Saccharomyces cerevisiae S288C: one gene and its partners. The protein of the gene in region 1 interacts with the protein of each later gene in a biochemical or structural test. Each region holds a gene or a part of one and is shown in the gene's direction. Other genes may lie near its edges.

Region 1 (8,499 bases):
AGACTTCATGATGGGTATGAATTTTATTTCACCTCTATTCATTTACTTCTAATGGCCTAGAATCTAGTAAGCTCTGAAAATTCGAGATGCGGATCGTGAGCTAAAATAATAAAAAAATGAAAAATATAAAAGAGCAAAATTCATTACATTGGCGTTAGTTCACTGCTCGGGGGATGAGTAAAAAGTGTACCGATCAAGAACAACTCTAGACTTCCGCCAAAGTGATTATCAACAAAAATCGTAATAATTAGCTTCAATGCTAAATCAGCACACAAGTTCAGTACCGGATGACGAACATCTGCAGATGGCACACCAAAATAGCAGTTCAGAAGTGAGAAATGAGGCAGCGGTCCCAGATCAACTTTTGACTCCTTTACAACCGTATACCATTTTATTGAAAGATGGAGAAACAATAGCTACGATGTATCCTATACCTGCGTATCCTGATTTATTGCCGCTAGGGCTCTTAAATTTCCTTCTAGATGAATTTAACATGGAAGTGGAAAAGGGAGATAGTTTTCCTTATTACGAGACTTTATCACTAGAAGAATTCAAAAATGTCTGGTTTCATAATGATGGTCACGTTTGTATTATGGTGTTAGGCGAAATACCAGAACTGGATTATAGTATGGATACTGAAGCGGACACAAATGATAATTTTGGAACAGAAATAGAAACCACGAAGCACACCACCCAATATAAGAAACGAAAAGAACGTCGCAATTTAAATCTAAGTATGCAGTGGGAGAAGCAATGTCTAGGCATATTTGACCTCAAACCAGCATACCCTGGACGGTCAGCGCATGTGGTCACAGGAACATTTCTGGTCAATGCTGGTATTCGTGGAAAAGGTATTGGGAAAACACTAATGGAAACATTCATAGAATGGTCAAAGAAATTAGGATTTACGTCCTCCTTTTTCCCGTTAATTTACGGAACGAACGTAGGAATCAGAAGAATTTTGGAAGGATTGAACTTTAGGCGGATTGGAAAGCTGCCTGAAGCCGGGATTCTCAAGGGCTTTGATGTCCCAGTAGATTCTTTCATGTATGGTAAAGAGTTCACACATATTACGAAAAGTATAGATTTGTTACGAGATCCTCAAAAGAGTATCGAAATTGGGAAATATGAACGATTAAAGCATTTTCTGGAAACAGGCAAGTATCCTTTACATTGTGATAGAAACGAAAAGGCTAGATTAAGAGTACTTTCCAAAACTCATTCGGTATTGAATGGCAAGTTGATGACAAAAGGAAAAGAAATCATTTATGACACGGATCAACAAATCCAGATTGCATTAGAGATACATTTAATGGAACATTTAGGCATCAACAAGGTGACCTCCAAAATTGGTGAAAAATACCATTGGAGAGGAATCAAGAGTACTGTTTCGGAGGTAATCTCTCGGTGCCAAAAATGCAAGATGAGGTACAAAGACGGGACAGGGGTAATAATTGAACAAAAGAGAGCAGTTAAGCAGGCGCATATGCTACCGACGCAGCATATAGAAACTATCAACAATCCAAGAAAAAGCAAGAAGCATGATAATGCGTTATTGGGACAGGCAATAAATTTCCCTCAAAATATTATTTCCAGTACGCTGAATGATGTGGAGGGTGAACCCACTCCGCCAGACACTAATATCGTACAACCCACATTCCAGAACGCCACGAATAGTCCCGCAACAACAGCTGAAGCCAACGAAGCGAATAAAAGATCCGAGTTTCTTTCCTCAATACAGAGCACGCCACTATTGGACGACGAACAGTCAATGAATTCCTTCAATAGATTCGTGGAGGAAGAAAACTCAAGAAAAAGACGAAAATACTTGGATGTTGCCTCCAACGGAATTGTACCCCATTTAACGAATAACGAATCGCAGGATCACGCGAACCCCGTCAACCGTGATGAACGAGATATGAACCATTCAGTTCCCGATTTAGATAGAAATGACCATACTATAATGAACGATGCTATGTTGAGCCTCGAAGATAACGTCATGGCCGCTCTAGAAATGGTCCAAAAGGAACAACAACAGAAGATAAATCATCGAGGTGAAGATGTGACTGGCCAACAAATCGATTTGAACAACAGTGAAGGTAATGAGAATTCAGTCACTAAGATTGTTAACAACGAATCTAATACATTTACAGAGCACAATTCTAATATTTATTATTAAATTGCGACTCTGCCAGAGACGGTCACATCACCAACCCTAGAAACTATAAAGTTTGTACAGAAAAAAGGTACATTTAATGATGCGTCCACTTTTGGAACAGGGTTGACAAGTCTTAAATCTTATTTCAGAAGTGATTTTTGAAGTAAAATTGGAAACTGAAATTGGAAACAAGGCACTCAACTCAATTATGCTTGCATGACGAAAGGTTCTGTTACAGTTTTACGTTGAAACCTAGGTACTGCAGAAATCCATAATCGGAGATAAATAACTAAGCTTTGTGCTGCAAAATTTTCCAGATTAGGAAACCTGATCCTCAGTGCCCTTTTAAGTACTGCTGTATCTGATGCCGTGAACGAGACACTATTGGCTGCGTGGGCACGTACCAAGTATACTCATCAAAATTTGTCTTAGGTTTTCCGATGCGGAAAATGGCAGCGCACAATTTAAATAGAAAAGGAGTTAAATGTACAGCAGCAAAATCAGTCACTCACGGAGAAAAGCTACGGTAGCGTAACGAAGAGCACATTGCTACTAGCAGCCAGCTAGATAATTGCAGCAGTGTACAGTTTACGCGACAATAAAGAAAGCATGATTTTCTTTTTCAACCAGATCCGTTCAATATTTACAGCTTTGCATACGCCAACTCAACAGATCCAATTATCAAGAAGGGCCTTTTTCCAATTCTTAGGCTATTTGGGTAGTTGTGTTGTGATTTCATTAGCAGCTCAATCGAAATACGTGCAGTAAGAAATGAAATAATGACCTGCAACAGTCCTTCTTGAGATGGAATGAAGTAATTGCTCTTTGAACGAGAGCACAAAAGCAAGCAGAAGTCGCGTATGTCAAGCCCATGATATAGCTGCTTAGATATATAGGTAGATATAAATAAGCACAATGGCTACAGTAATTGTGCGGTGCAGGGAGGCAATGTTTAGTGCATCTCCTCTACATCATTTCTATTTTTAATCTCGTCCACGAGAACGATTTAAGGAAATGGGGCTTCAAAAATAAAAAAATCAAATGAAAGTAATAATCTTTCAGCTTAGACTTATTTTTAGTTGAAACACTTGAATAAGAGTGCAGACACTCAATCGTGGTGTAGCTACAAGAACATATGGTGGCGTGTTTCTGCTGCAACTGTCAAGATCGTCTGTGTCTTAATGAGGTGATATATAGAACTGCTGAATACGGAGCCGTTTGTCTTTTACTGCGGGATTAACTTCAACAGCTACGGCCGAAGCCAATTCTGGCAAAAGGCAATGACTAAGTCTTGTTTCTCATGTAGATTACTATTTTGAGCGTGTTGCTTTTCTGTTCCCCTTGAGCATAGCAGCAGGCACGGAAGCATACAGAATATTCACTAACATGAGAACAACTCATTACTAGACTACTACCAGTTACTACACATCGATACAACTCCCCAGAAATATCACTGTTGAGAGTTCATGTCAAGACGTAGTATAGTATTGCAACAGGAAAAAAAAATCTTATTGCGTAGCACTCTGTATCTATTTTATATATCTGTTTCTATATTTGATTAATCTCTTGTTATCTTGGTGATGATCGCACAAGTATGTACTCCTGTATCTGCAAGAATATCTGTTTTAAACTTTTCAAAGCAAGGAAACCCCGTCTTATATAGGTTATCCGCAAAGGTCACATTTTCTTGCAAATAGAAGAAAAAGCACCCACAAGCACACTAACACAGTGCCAGAGCAAAACTATATCCTTTGCATCCGATCTCAAACGCTGTTCTTATCGCATCTGTCTTCGTCCTTTCATCTGCATTTACCTTTTCTTTTTCATCCTCTATTTGCCTTTTCATTAGTGGCAATTTTTCCAGTTTTTTCCCTCTGCGTCCCGTTGCACCTGAAAGGATCTTTCTAACGTGTGTTGTCTACTAGTGAGCGATTTCGTGAGCCATACACGTTCTATAGAAAATTGAATAAACTTTACTTCAAAGGGATCTGGACACAGAGATAACTGCTTACCTGCTTGCCGGAAGAAAAGAATTACTAAAAAAGAAGACAAGGGTAGCTGCTATTGTGGGTACACGTTTCACAGAACTACTTTTTCCTTGTCCTTCTCCAGACATCAACGTCATACAACTAAAACTGATAAAGTACCCGTTTTTCCGTACATTTCTATAGATACATTATTATATTAAGCAGATCGAGACGTTAATTTCTCAAAGATGGAAGACAAGTTTGCTAACCTCAGTCTCCATGAGAAAACTGGTAAGTCATCTATCCAATTAAACGAGCAAACAGGCTCAGATAATGGCTCTGCTGTCAAGAGAACATCTTCGACGTCCTCGCACTACAATAACATCAACGCTGACCTTCATGCTCGTGTAAAAGCTTTTCAAGAACAACGTGCATTGAAAAGGTCTGCCAGCGTGGGCAGTAATCAAAGCGAGCAAGACAAAGGCAGTTCACAATCACCTAAACATATTCAGCAGATTGTTAATAAGCCATTGCCGCCTCTTCCCGTAGCAGGAAGTTCTAAGGTTTCACAAAGAATGAGTAGCCAAGTCGTGCAAGCGTCCTCCAAGAGCACTCTTAAGAACGTTCTGGACAATCAAGAAACACAAAACATTACCGACGTAAATATTAACATCGATACAACCAAAATTACCGCCACAACAATTGGTGTAAATACTGGCCTACCTGCTACTGACATTACGCCGTCAGTTTCTAATACTGCATCAGCAACACATAAGGCGCAATTGCTGAATCCTAACAGAAGGGCACCAAGAAGGCCGCTTTCTACCCAGCACCCTACAAGACCAAATGTTGCCCCGCATAAGGCCCCTGCTATAATCAACACACCAAAACAAAGTTTAAGTGCCCGTCGAGGGCTCAAATTACCACCAGGAGGAATGTCATTAAAAATGCCCACTAAAACAGCTCAACAGCCGCAGCAGTTTGCCCCAAGCCCTTCAAACAAAAAACATATAGAAACCTTATCAAACAGCAAAGTTGTTGAAGGGAAAAGATCGAATCCGGGTTCTTTGATAAATGGTGTGCAAAGCACATCCACCTCATCAAGTACCGAAGGCCCACATGACACTGTAGGCACTACACCCAGAACTGGAAACAGCAACAACTCTTCAAATTCTGGTAGTAGTGGTGGTGGTGGTCTTTTCGCAAATTTCTCGAAATACGTGGATATCAAATCCGGCTCTTTGAATTTTGCAGGCAAACTATCGCTATCCTCTAAAGGAATAGATTTCAGCAATGGTTCTAGTTCGAGAATTACATTGGACGAACTAGAATTTTTGGATGAACTGGGTCATGGTAACTATGGTAACGTCTCAAAGGTACTGCATAAGCCCACAAATGTTATTATGGCGACGAAGGAAGTCCGTTTGGAGCTAGATGAGGCTAAATTTAGACAAATTTTAATGGAACTAGAAGTTTTGCATAAATGCAATTCTCCCTATATTGTGGATTTTTATGGTGCATTCTTTATTGAGGGCGCCGTCTACATGTGTATGGAATACATGGATGGTGGTTCCTTGGATAAAATATACGACGAATCATCTGAAATCGGCGGCATTGATGAACCTCAGCTAGCGTTTATTGCCAATGCTGTCATTCATGGACTAAAAGAACTCAAAGAGCAGCATAATATCATACACAGAGATGTCAAACCAACAAATATTTTATGTTCAGCCAACCAAGGCACCGTAAAGCTGTGCGATTTCGGTGTTTCTGGTAATTTGGTGGCATCTTTAGCGAAGACTAATATTGGTTGTCAGTCATACATGGCACCTGAACGAATCAAATCGTTGAATCCAGATAGAGCCACCTATACCGTACAGTCAGACATCTGGTCTTTAGGTTTAAGCATTCTGGAAATGGCACTAGGTAGATATCCGTATCCACCAGAAACATACGACAACATTTTCTCTCAATTGAGCGCTATTGTTGATGGGCCGCCACCGAGATTACCTTCAGATAAATTCAGTTCTGACGCACAAGATTTTGTTTCTTTATGTCTACAAAAGATTCCGGAAAGAAGACCTACATACGCAGCTTTAACAGAGCATCCTTGGTTAGTAAAATACAGAAACCAGGATGTCCACATGAGTGAGTATATCACTGAACGATTAGAAAGGCGCAACAAAATCTTACGGGAACGTGGTGAGAATGGTTTATCTAAAAATGTACCGGCATTACATATGGGTGGTTTATAGCGTTAATATCCAAATAAAAGCAAACAGGCACGTGAATATAACAACAAAAAAAAAGCAGACGAAAAGCTACTGTGGAAATGATGCGGCGAATACAAAAAAACCTTACATATACATATGTTTATTGTAATAAACTTGCATTATACTCGTTATAGACATATATATATATATATATTCATATATATATATCGTCTGACTTCCTTTTGTCGAACCTAAAAAAGGGCACGAATTATGACAGAGTATTGAGGGGATGTTATTTCAAGCACCGGCAAGTGAAGCGATGTGGACGTCAATATATTGTGTTATTCGATTATTGCTACGGCCATCGACTCCTCGAAATTATTTACGTTCGGGGCTGACAACGCAAGAAAGAAAAAATGCTCTGGAATTGTCTGATGGTTTTTCCGCTCTTTACGGCTCAAGGCTAGGAAAGAAAAAAAAGTCCAAAATCATCGAGAAAATAAAAGGTGTTTTGAAAGTTCAAATCCACGTTATTGAGAGTAGATGTGGAGTCTGGACCAGGAACTATACCTGTATCTTACCCTAACTTCTAAATTTTGCTACTTTCACGGAAAACAGTAAATAATTACCTATCAAGATAAAGAGCTCTTACATTATTAGAAACTTTTTGTTACTGTTGCTTTCCTTTCGCCCATTGTTTTTACCTTACCATTAGCATCACTGATTCCACACTTGTATTGCCTTAAAAAGAAGGAGGGTATTCTATTGGCTCTCAAGGAAGTCATTCCTATCCATTTTACTTAAAGTTATTACCTTTTTTTGATAACTAACAATGCATTTTAGAAGAACGATGAGTAGAGTGCCCACATTGGCATCTCTTGAAATACGATATAAAAAATCTTTCGGCCATAAATTTCGTGATTTTATTGCTCTATGTGGTCACTATTTTGCTCCAGTTAAAAAATATATCTTCCCCAGTTTTATCGCGGTTCACTACTTCTACACGATATCCCTGACATTAATAACTTCAATCCTGCTATATCCCATTAAGAATACCAGATACATTGATACATTGTTTTTAGCAGCGGGCGCAGTTACACAAGGTGGCTTAAATACTGTGGATATCAACAATCTAAGCTTATACCAACAAATTGTTCTGTATATCGTATGCTGCATATCAACACCAATTGCAGTTCATAGTTGCTTGGCATTTGTACGGCTTTACTGGTTTGAGCGCTACTTCGATGGTATTAGAGACTCTTCTAGACGAAATTTTAAGATGAGAAGAACGAAAACAATCTTAGAAAGGGAACTAACAGCAAGAACCATGACCAAGAATAGAACAGGTACCCAAAGAACGTCTTATCCTAGGAAACAAGCTAAAACAGATGATTTCCAAGAAAAATTGTTCAGCGGAGAAATGGTTAATAGAGATGAGCAGGACTCAGTTCACAGCGACCAGAATTCTCATGACATTAGTAGGGACAGCAGCAATAATAATACGAATCACAATGGTAGCAGTGGCAGTTTAGATGATTTCGTTAAGGAAGACGAAACGGATGACAATGGAGAATATCAGGAGAACAACTCCTACTCGACGGTAGGTAGTTCGTCTAACACAGTTGCAGACGAAAGTTTAAATCAGAAGCCCAAGCCAAGCAGTCTTCGGTTTGATGAGCCACACAGCAAACAAAGACCCGCAAGAGTTCCCTCAGAGAAATTTGCAAAAAGAAGGGGTTCAAGAGATATTAGCCCAGCCGATATGTATCGATCCATTATGATGCTACAAGGTAAGCATGAAGCAACTGCTGAAGATGAAGGTCCCCCTTTAGTCATCGGGTCCCCTGCGGATGGCACAAGATATAAAAGTAATGTCAATAAGCTAAAGAAGGCCACCGGCATAAATGGTAACAAAATCAAGATTCGAGATAAGGGAAATGAAAGTAACACTGATCAAAATTCCGTGTCAAGTGAAGCAAACAGTACGGCGAGCGTTTCGGACGAAAGCTCGTTACACACAAATTTTGGTAACAAAGTACCTTCATTAAGAACAAATACTCATAGATCAAATTCGGGCCCGATAGCCATTACTGATAACGCAGAAACAGACAAAAAGCATGGGCCATCAATTCAATTCGATATAACTAAACCTCCTAGAAAA
Region 2 (7,036 bases), on another chromosome or scaffold:
TTTTTTTTTTTGATCTAAATACACAATACATACATTTGCAACCGAGAGAGATAGAATATGTAGAAATAATAAGATGGCGTTGTCTCTATAATGCTTTTCTATTGTTTAGTAAGCTACAAGAAGTAATCAACATGTCTGTTAGAAGCAGATCTGGCTTGGTATACATCTGAAAATATGTACATTTCAGGGTCCGTGGAGCCATCTGCGGAGGCAGAGTCGTCTTCGAAATAATCTGCAATCAATTTCCTGTTGGCTACCGGATTAGATATGCTATCTTCTAAGGCATTGTCGTTCATACTGTTCTCTTTCAACAGTTTATTTTCAGGTGCCTCTTCGAAAACGTTGAAGTAGAATTGATCTTTACTATACAGCTCCAGAATAGATGCTTTATTGCCGCACCGATAACAATAGTTTGGCGCCGACCATACAGTAGTAACCAATCCATCAAAATATATCTGGTAACCTTCGTTACATAACTGATGGGCTCTGTATATTCTGTTCATATCGTTCATACGTAAGAATTTCTCCACCACGCTTCTTCCGAAAGTATAACCTGCTCCACGAGGTGACACCTGGAAATGTTGTCCAGAGTTATCTGGATGATCTAACGTGGGGTTATTGTTTTCTTCCGGATCAGACCAAACCAAGTCTGCCATGGCGCCATCGTGTGGAATTTCTCGAAATCTATCAATAATCTTGATCTGATCTATGGTTTGAACATTGGGCGAGAGCCCACCATGAACACAAAAAATTTCGTCGTCGATAATACAGCATAACACTAGATAGTCAAATATATCTGTCAAATATTGCCAAACTCTTGAATTGCCACCGTACTTGTTCAAGCACTCCGTGTAGAAACCATAGCTCTGCGTGATTTGACGTGACTCGTGGTTTCCCCTCAAAAGATGAATTCTACTAGGATATCGAAGCTTAAGCACAATCAATAGCATAATTGTTTCCACACTGTACAACCCCCTGTCTACATAGTCGCCCAAGAACAGATAATTCGTATCAGGAACAGGGCCGCCTATTTGGAAGATCTCCAGCATATCGTGAAACTGTCCATGCATATCCCCCACGACTGTGACAGGGGTCTGAATGTGAATCACGTTTGACTCCTTCACTAGCATTTCCTTCAGCTTAAAGCAGAGTGCCCTTACAGTCACTTCAGGTAGTAACTGGGCCTTGTATAGCCTTTCTAAACATTCGTCCAATTCCATCTCTACTGGGCCAATTCTCTAACCAAAAATAAAAGTACACAGTGGGGATACAACTGCAATGAGTGGAACTTAATAAACAGTCACGAACTGTTCCAAATTACCTACAACTCGCTGAAAATACCGCGTTTCATACCCTGAAACAGTGGGTATTTTAGCAGTTTTGCATTATTAATTACTGCTCCATCACCCGGGAAACTCGCGCCACTTTTCGGGCGTTTCTTTGTATGGAAAGAATTGATTAATCTGAAAAGAGTGATAAAGGTGGGTAAACAGAGATAGAAAGAAGCCAAATCTGCAGATTAGAAGAGGTTAGAAGATTGTAATTGTTGCTGCCCCAGTGTGTTATTGCCTTAGAGAGTAGTACTGTTAAAGAACAGCTAAGAACGGGTGTTTTCAAAACGAATTACTGGTTTACAAAGAATTCAAAGGAAAAAAAAAGGTTCCAGCATATTTGTTAACTTTTGTGTGAGCTCCGTCTGTCCTTCAAGTTACTATTGGGCAGTTTCAAGTACAAACAGTCTGCCATTACTAAAAAGAAGAGAAGCCTTTGCGTAAACTATTTGACAGGCACAAATAATGTCGCATTCAGACTACTTCAATTATAAGCCTTACGGCGATTCCACGGAAAAGCCCAGCAGCTCCAAGATGAGGCAGTCATCTTCATCATCTTCATCTAGACTAAGGTCGGAAAGTTTAGGGCGAAATTCCAATACTACGCAGGCTCGAGTAGCGTCATCGCCCATCAGCCCAGGGCTGCATTCTACCCAGTACTTTAGATCACCAAACGCTGTTTACAGCCCTGGAGAGTCTCCATTAAATACAGTACAGCTATTCAATCGTCTTCCGGGTATACCTCAAGGTCAGTTTTTTCATCAAAATGCCATTTCTGGGTCCTCCAGCTCCTCGGCAAGATCTAGTAGACGGCCCTCGAATATTGGTCTTCCTCTACCAAAAAATCCTCAGCAGTCTCTACCGAAGTTGTCTACTCAACCTGTTCCTGTACATAAGAAAGTTGAGGCTAGTAAAACAGAGAGCGAGATTATTAAGAAGCCCGCTCCCGTGAATAGTAATCAAGATCCATTATTGACGACCCCAACGTTAGTGATATCACCAGAACTGGCTTCACTAAATACAACGAATACATCGATTATGTCAACGCCACAAAATATTACAAACCAAACTTCGAACAAACACATTCCCACCAGATCGCAACCAAATGGGTCAACAAGTTCCTCCACTTTGCAGGATATTGTCACGACAAATAGCTCGCAACGGTCTGTAGGCCACCATGGTGGAAGCACAACGAGCCTCCGAACATACAAAAAACAATATGTATTAAATGAACAGTTATATTTAAGAAAAATGAGAAACCGTGCTAATGATGATTATTACACTAGAGGTATAGTCGCATCATCCAACTTTGAAGATGACGAAGAAAATTTTAGTAACAAAGGTGAAGATGACTTAGAACTAGAAATGGATGATCTTTTAAAGGTAGAAGGTGAGGATAAAGATAACGACTTCAATTTTGGTTATAATTTTATTACGTCGAGCACAAAAAATAATGAAAATGTTGTTTCGATGAGCCTAAATTATCTAAAGGGCAAATTGGATTGGTTGAGGGATGTGAACAATGATCAACCGTGTGAAATAGAAGATGAGGAGTGGCATTCCATACTGGGGAGCGAGGATTTGCTGTCAAAATTGTTACAAAATCCTATGGTGAACAACCGATTTGAATGGCAAACAATGTTATCTAAGGTACTGAAGGGAGATATTGTGAGGAATGAAAAAACGAAGATTGCAAATCAAGGGAAAGGCCCTGGCTTCAATACTCAGTTTTCAGATGACATTTGGATTGAGTTGAAGGCATGGATGAATGGGAGGACCGTGGAAGATCAGAACAAATCTCTGAGGATTTTTAGGGATTCTACTGACTCCGTATTTCAAGAAATCATGGCCTTTAAACTAGAAGATAATATGAGCGCTGACGAGGCTGCAGAGACTATCAAATCACTAGTAGACAAATATTATAGAGTCTTAAATCTATGGCCTAACATTAAAAGAATGCATGCTGAAAAACCCATTACTAAAACAGAAGCATTCAGGAATCGAATAGATACTTTGAATAGTTGGCTTAATTTCAAATTTAACTTTGATACTAATATTGCGTACCTGAAAAAATGGATAGTTGGCAATAAAGAGCTAGAAAGCACTACCGAAGTGGATAACACCACCGTGAATTTGGATGATCCAGCCGTTTTCGCCACTAATTGTAAACGCTTTGCGGAGCAAATTATGAAGGAAAAGGATATTGAACTGATATTTCAAAAAAAAATATTCTTTCCATTAGCACCATGGATTTTGAAGGCCAAATTTTTCTTCTTGAAATACCAAAAAACTTGGAATGAATTGAATCTATCTTATTTGGATCAAGATCTGGAATTTTTATTGATGTTTCCAATGCGTTTGGTAAAAGATATAATACTAATTCGCCTATCTTACGCGAAGAAAATACAGAATCCAACCTTGATGATGATCGATCAAATGATGGACGATTTTAGTACATATATTAAGTTGGCAGTCCAAATGAAATTCACTGTTGCTTCTTACTGTAATGACTGGTTTTTTAAAGTGAAAATCGATCCCGAATTTGATCATACCGTTGTTGAAGGATTGGAATATTTTTTCTCCATTTTGGAACTGAGAATATTATATAGTGGCAAAAACTCATTCAAGACTTCTAAAGAACCTGATCTGTTATTAAAATATTGGGAAATGTTTAGAAACGTCGGCTATTATATTGATGATGCAGGCGAACTGATCGCAGCAGAATTTACGAAGTTGACACTTAGATTGGTTCACAGATTGCACGCTTACCTTTTAAGGCAGCAAAACACTCCGCCAAAATTAGAGAATGAAGCTGCTGCTGAAAAATGGCTGGTGCAAATATTCGAAATACTTGGATCCATGAAAAGAAAACTCAATAGATTCACCAATATTTTGACAAAAGCATTTCAAAATTTTGTCCGCTACAAGATAGAAGATCACAACTATCTGCTAAAGCAACTAAAAGAAACAGGCCACTTTCTTATATACACAGGAGGTTACCTAGAGCAAAATGGTACTTATTTAATTGGTAGCCCAGAGCTATTAGGCTGTAAAGATGATGATATTTTAAGAATCATTAAGAATTCAGACATCGGTTGTGATTTAGTGCCTAAGCTAGAAATTAATAACAGTCTGACAATTTATAATGCTTTGGATGATAATTGGAACTCCAACTCATCACTGGGTTCAGATATCTCGAATGATGGTACCCCATTTTATTATATCAAAAACGATTTGACCACCCAGCCTAGATCTTATAACGGTAATAGAGTCAATCGTGAACCGGATTTTGAAAACAGCAGGAGCACGGAGGAAGAGTTTTATGAACTGGAGACAAGATTGAACTCTCTTGGTTATGTATTGGTATTGACTCCGCAAGAGCCATTACTTTGGGAGGGTGAGATGTATAATCTATCCGATAACAAAACAATTAAACCAGAGGGATTGAACTTGAAAGTAATTCCTAATTCAATAGATTTGATGTGCCAAGGATCCAGTTATGCCTTAGAATACCAATGTGACAGGTTCCAACAGATATCTGGTAGCTCAGTTTCTTTCTTGGAAAAAAAATCTTCCTCAGAAACGGTTAAAAACAACTTACAAAGGATAAATAAAGCATATTTCAGATGCACGTACAGTGTTCTGAAGAACTATACAAAGATTGTGACCACGTTCAAGAAGGTAAGTCCTGTCAATGATTTATTGAATAATATTTTCCTTTTTGGGAGGGATTTTGGTCTGAACTTTTTGAGAATTAATGTTGCCAACAATGAAAAAAGATCCATTATAATACTTTTAATGATGCGGTTAAGTATCGGATGGCTGAAGTTCTTAGCTGAAGACTGTGATCCGACTGATCAAAGGGTATTTAGGTGGTGTGTCACGTCAATGGAGTTCGCGATGCATATGGTAAGCGGTTGGAACATACTAGCTCTTGATGAATGCCAATTTTCTTCTTTAAAACAAAAAATTTCAGAATGCATGTCATTACTTATTTCTCATTTTGATATAATAGGCGCACGCTCCATAGAAGTTGAGAAAATCAATCAACAAGCTAGATCAAATCTTGATTTGGAAGATGTGTTTGACGATGATATGATGCTACAAGTGAATTCCGAGTTCCGAGTACAAAGTATAATGGAATTGGAAGAAAGGATAAAGCGGAATCCTCATCAAACTGGTAAAGTAATTGATGATAGTGACAAAGGTAACAAGTACCTTGTTTCTTTGGCATCTTCCATATCGAACGTTTCTATGAGATGGCAAAAGAGGAACTTTATTGGTGGCGGTACTTTTGGAAGGGTATATTCTGCTGTTGATTTGGATAATGGTGAGATTTTAGCAGTCAAGGAAATCAATATTCAAGATAGCAAATCAATGCAAAAAATATTCCCCTTAATCAAGGAGGAAATGAGTGTCTTAGAGATATTGAACCATCCAAATATAGTTTCATATTACGGTGTTGAAGTTCATCGTGATAAAGTTAACATCTTTATGGAATATTGTGAAGGCGGTTCCCTAGCAGCTCTTTTGGAGCATGGTCGTATTGAAGATGAAATGGTCACTCAAGTCTACACTTTACAATTGCTAGAAGGACTTGCATATTTGCATGAATCCGGCATTGTTCACCGTGATGTTAAACCCGAAAACATCCTACTAGATTTTAATGGTGTTATTAAGTATGTTGATTTTGGTGCTGCTAAAAAAATTGCTAATAATGGAACTAGATTGGCAAGTATGAACAAAATCGAAAACGCAGATGGTGAACACGAAGATGTTACCCATGTTTCTGATTCAAAGGCAGTGAAAAATAACGAAAATGCTCTATTAGACATGATGGGAACTCCTATGTACATGGCTCCAGAATCCATCACTGGATCTACCACCAAAGGCAAACTTGGGGCAGACGATGTTTGGTCGTTAGGCTGCGTGGTATTAGAAATGATCACTGGTAGACGGCCATGGGCTAACTTAGATAATGAATGGGCTATCATGTACCATGTTGCTGCAGGACATACCCCACAATTCCCTACTAAGGATGAAGTGTCGTCTGCTGGTATGAAATTTCTGGAAAGATGTCTTATTCAAAACCCCTCCAAGAGAGCCAGTGCGGTTGAGCTGTTGATGGATCCTTGGATTGTACAAATTAGAGAAATAGCCTTTGGCGACGATTCTTCCTCTACAGATACTGAGGAAAGAGAGTAGTTAAGTTGAGAAGGTTTGTTGTATTATATGTAAAATCAAAATATAATGTAGTGGGGGGAGAGTATATAATGTTAATTCAAGGATAGAAGATTAATGATAGCATTTTTTTATAATTGTTTTGATTTTGAGAACAGAAATTTATAAAGGTAAGATATAAAAGTGAAAATTTGAAGTCTAGTCGAGGTGGATTAATGTAAAACGCTCGCTATATATTTTATTGGAATTGACGTTAGCTATTATCAATCAGTTTTTTCATCTTGTTTGATTCTCTTATAGGTGAAGAAGACATCGCTTTTAACAATCGAATTGGCCGTCAATTCTTTCAAAAAAACGGTAGGGGTCTTGTCGAAAATGATCTGTTTGAGTAGAGACAAAACATTCACTCTCTCTTGGAAAACAAAGTTCTTAATGTAGGTTGGGTCAAATCCAGTAAACATCTTTGTTGTGTTAACTAGCTCCCAATGGTTGGTAGTCTTATTCTCGAATGGCAATTGAGAGGC
Region 3 (2,880 bases), on another chromosome or scaffold:
ATCAAAGACAAACCGAAGGATAAACCATTTCAAAAGGAATGGTTTCATGATACTTTAGTGAATGATCCAAATATCTATCACACTTCAAGGTTCGTTCCCGCTGTAGGGAATATTCTTTCAAAGGTTATAGCGAATCCATTGTTATTGAGCGAACAATACTTCCCATATTTAAAGGACAAGCCAATTGAGTTATTGAATGAAGAAGAATTCCAAGCAGGCTTAGCGAATACCTCTGCTAACTCCTCCTCATCCTTAAGGAATCCCCGTCACAAGGCAGCTTGGACCACGAAAAGCTCTAATATAAAAAAAAACATACCTAGACAAAGATTCTTCTACTATGTTATTGGTGGTATATCAATTCCCGAAATTAAAGCTGCTTATGATCAATCAAACTTGAAGAACAGAGATATCTTTATTGGCAGCGACGAGATATTAACACCAACAAAATTCTTAGATGAAGTGGAACGTTTACAAAATCCTAGAGAATTTTTCAAATTCAAGGAAGATCAGCGCCAGCAAGTAAACCCGCCTGATTTCCTTCTAAGGGAAATGAAACCGGTGGCACAACCAGTCTCTCATGTTCATTTAAAAAGCCAAGACAATAGTCCTAAGTCTGGTACTTCTAGTCCCAAAGCAGCAGGTTCTCTCAAGTCAGAACCACCCGAAAAAGAGAAGAAACGTAGCAAATTCTCGAGGTTCTTGAAAAGAAAATCTCACCATGATAAATGATCCCTTAAAGAAGACAGTGATAAAAAAAATCACTTGCTCTTGTCAAAAAAAAAAGATATAAACGTACTATTTATGTATCGTTCCTATGTACTATCTAACATGCTTATGGAGAAATTCTTGATGATATTCAGATTTTGTCATATCGTTAATGTATCCGGACGCTGATTTTTTTGTTGCATGTTCCTTAATATTTGTCTCTTTGGTTACTTTATGGCGTCCAAACGCCGTGCCCTTTCTCCACGATCGCCTAGACGAATTTCCTCCCTTTAATTGTTCATTTCCTTCAAGCTCTGCTTTATCTTCCACTTTATTTTTTTGAGTAACCAGCAGCTCTTGCAACGAGTCTTTTTGGTCTTTCTCACTGCGGGTTTCTTGGAGGTTCCCACTCCCCACAACATCCTGTTTCTCTTCGTTCATTACTGCCTCCTCTAAAGATTTATCGTTGCTCCTATCTTCTTGCGCACAGTTTGCTCTAAGATTTTCCTCCTCTTTAAATTTCCTGTATTTTAATGTTGTATGTCCTGGTAGTAATCTGGCATGCTCGATGCCTGTTGGTGTATAAGCGGCCGCTTTTGCACCGCTTCTTGCTTCTAACTGTGGTCTGTGTGATGTGGTCATGGTCTTGTAGCCCTTTCAAATGCCAGCCTCTGAGCAAGTTCTTTATGGAGCCTTTTGGAGCTTTGTCATTCCTATTTCCTTTTCGTGAAGAGATAGACTATTATTTTTAGTCACACCAACTTATTTTTCCAGTTGCGAGAAATGGAGAATTCACTTCAGAAGTAGCTTGTAATGGACAATGCAACACAGTGCACAGTAACAACACGCTCAATCACACATAATAACAGCTACCAATAAAACGTGATAGATACTAACAAATTTTAAGTATTTTTCTCAACTTTACCTTACTTTAACTTCCACTGACATATTTATTGAATCTACGATGGCAACGATGGAAACGACCACACAAAAAGATACCAATATTTTGAAATCTGGTCTCAAAAAAACTATAGGTGTTCTCAATGAGGCAGTATTACAGAACGGGAGAGAGGTGGAGGCAGTGCAGGCAGGAAATAGTGACACAATGGAAGATACAGAAACAACCACAATAGGTTATATATCAATCAAAGATTATGCGTACGCAGATTCGAATCCTCTCCATTATGGTTATTTTGATGGAGACAATGAGGAGGATGAAATGGTTTCAGATTCTTCAAATGGAGAAGACACATACAATAAAAGACAAAGTATAACACTACCAGACGACTACATAGTTAACCAACGTGCTGTTGCCCTCTACGATTTCGAACCCGAAAATGATAATGAATTGAGATTGGCTGAGGGTGACATCGTATTTATCAGTTACAAGCATGGGCAAGGTTGGCTAGTAGCAGAAAATGAGTCAGGATCAAAAACAGGGTTGGTACCGGAGGAGTTTGTCTCTTATATACAGCCGGAAGATGGTGAGAACGAGGTGGAGAATAAGGCTCGACCTTTCTATTTGACACATTTGATTACACAGAGCGTTAGTCCTAAAAACAATATTGATAACACTAACGAAGATGAATACGACGACAACGATGAATGGGAAGATATTGATGATGTTGCGGAGGTCGAAGCAGATATGAAAACAAAATTAGATATATCGGATTGAATACAAATTCCAATTGGTTATGACAGTAAAATACTCACTAAAAACAGATAAAGAGGTCACCACCCTGGCGGTATGCCTGGCCGAATCTTCTTCCATCTGTTCTATGTCATAATTTCCGTTTCTTACGGATATATACATATATATCAGTGTATGTACTTATGCATATGTTAAATTAGAAGACTATTAGTCAGAATATTCTTCCTCTATGTCCAACTCTTCCAAGTCTTCATTCTCATTCACTAAATCACCCTTCTTGATTTGTGTTAACTCACTTGGATCTAGAGGACCACCAATTTCTTGGAGTAAAGCATTAGCACCGCCCAATAATTCTTGCACAATTTCATCTTTGCTGTCAGCATTGACACCTGCTTGCAATGCAAAACTTAGCGCTAATCTTGAGTCATAGATTAACTGGGAGATTGGTTCGTGGGATAAATCCAAAGGAACTTCTTGAATGAGTTGGTTAAACTCGTATATATTTTCCGGACGCAGGCTTACTT

Evidence for each region. The genes of interacting proteins can lie anywhere in the genome.
Region 2: of the proteins of PBS2 (region 1) and SSK2, one has a biochemical effect on the other in vitro, tested with the Saccharomyces cerevisiae proteins (4 studies listed by BioGRID, with this or other methods).
Region 3: the proteins of PBS2 (region 1) and NBP2 form a complex in vitro, tested with the Saccharomyces cerevisiae proteins (3 studies listed by BioGRID, with this or other methods).

Annotation. Positions count from the first base shown.
Region 1 is NC_001142.9:175,978-184,476, reverse strand, and holds PBS2 (mitogen-activated protein kinase kinase PBS2), read left to right. Parts: upstream 1-4,373; coding exon 4,374-6,380; downstream 6,381-8,499. Other genes in the region: SPT10 (Spt10p), read left to right, coding at 257-2,179; MCO6 (Mco6p), read left to right, coding at 2,768-2,926; TRK1 (Trk1p), read left to right, coding at 7,171-8,499. UniProt on the Saccharomyces cerevisiae protein: Kinase involved in a signal transduction pathway that is activated by changes in the osmolarity of the extracellular environment. Activates the MAP kinase HOG1 by concomitant phosphorylation at 'Thr-174' and 'Tyr-176'.
Region 2 is NC_001146.8:680,194-687,229, reverse strand, and holds SSK2 (mitogen-activated protein kinase kinase kinase SSK2), read left to right. Parts: upstream 1-1,796; coding exon 1,797-6,536; downstream 6,537-7,036. Other genes in the region: putative serine/threonine-protein kinase PPG1, read right to left, coding at 114-1,220; ALG12 (dolichyl-P-Man:Man(7)GlcNAc(2)-PP-dolichol alpha-1,6-mannosyltransferase), read right to left, coding at 6,776-7,036. UniProt on the Saccharomyces cerevisiae protein: Kinase involved in a signal transduction pathway that is activated by changes in the osmolarity of the extracellular environment. Activates the PBS2 MAP kinase kinase by phosphorylation.
Region 3 is NC_001136.10:779,890-782,769, reverse strand, and holds NBP2 (adaptor protein NBP2), read left to right. Parts: upstream 1-1,669; coding exon 1,670-2,380; downstream 2,381-2,880. Other genes in the region: SEC1 (Sec1p), read left to right, coding at 1-729; U2-type spliceosomal complex subunit CWC15, read right to left, coding at 820-1,347; ACL4 (Acl4p), read right to left, coding at 2,564-2,880. UniProt on the Saccharomyces cerevisiae protein: Negatively regulates the high-osmolarity glycerol (HOG) pathway through its negative regulation of the HOG1 kinase activity. Mediates the binding between the PTC1 phosphatase and the PBS2 MAP/ERK kinase (MEK).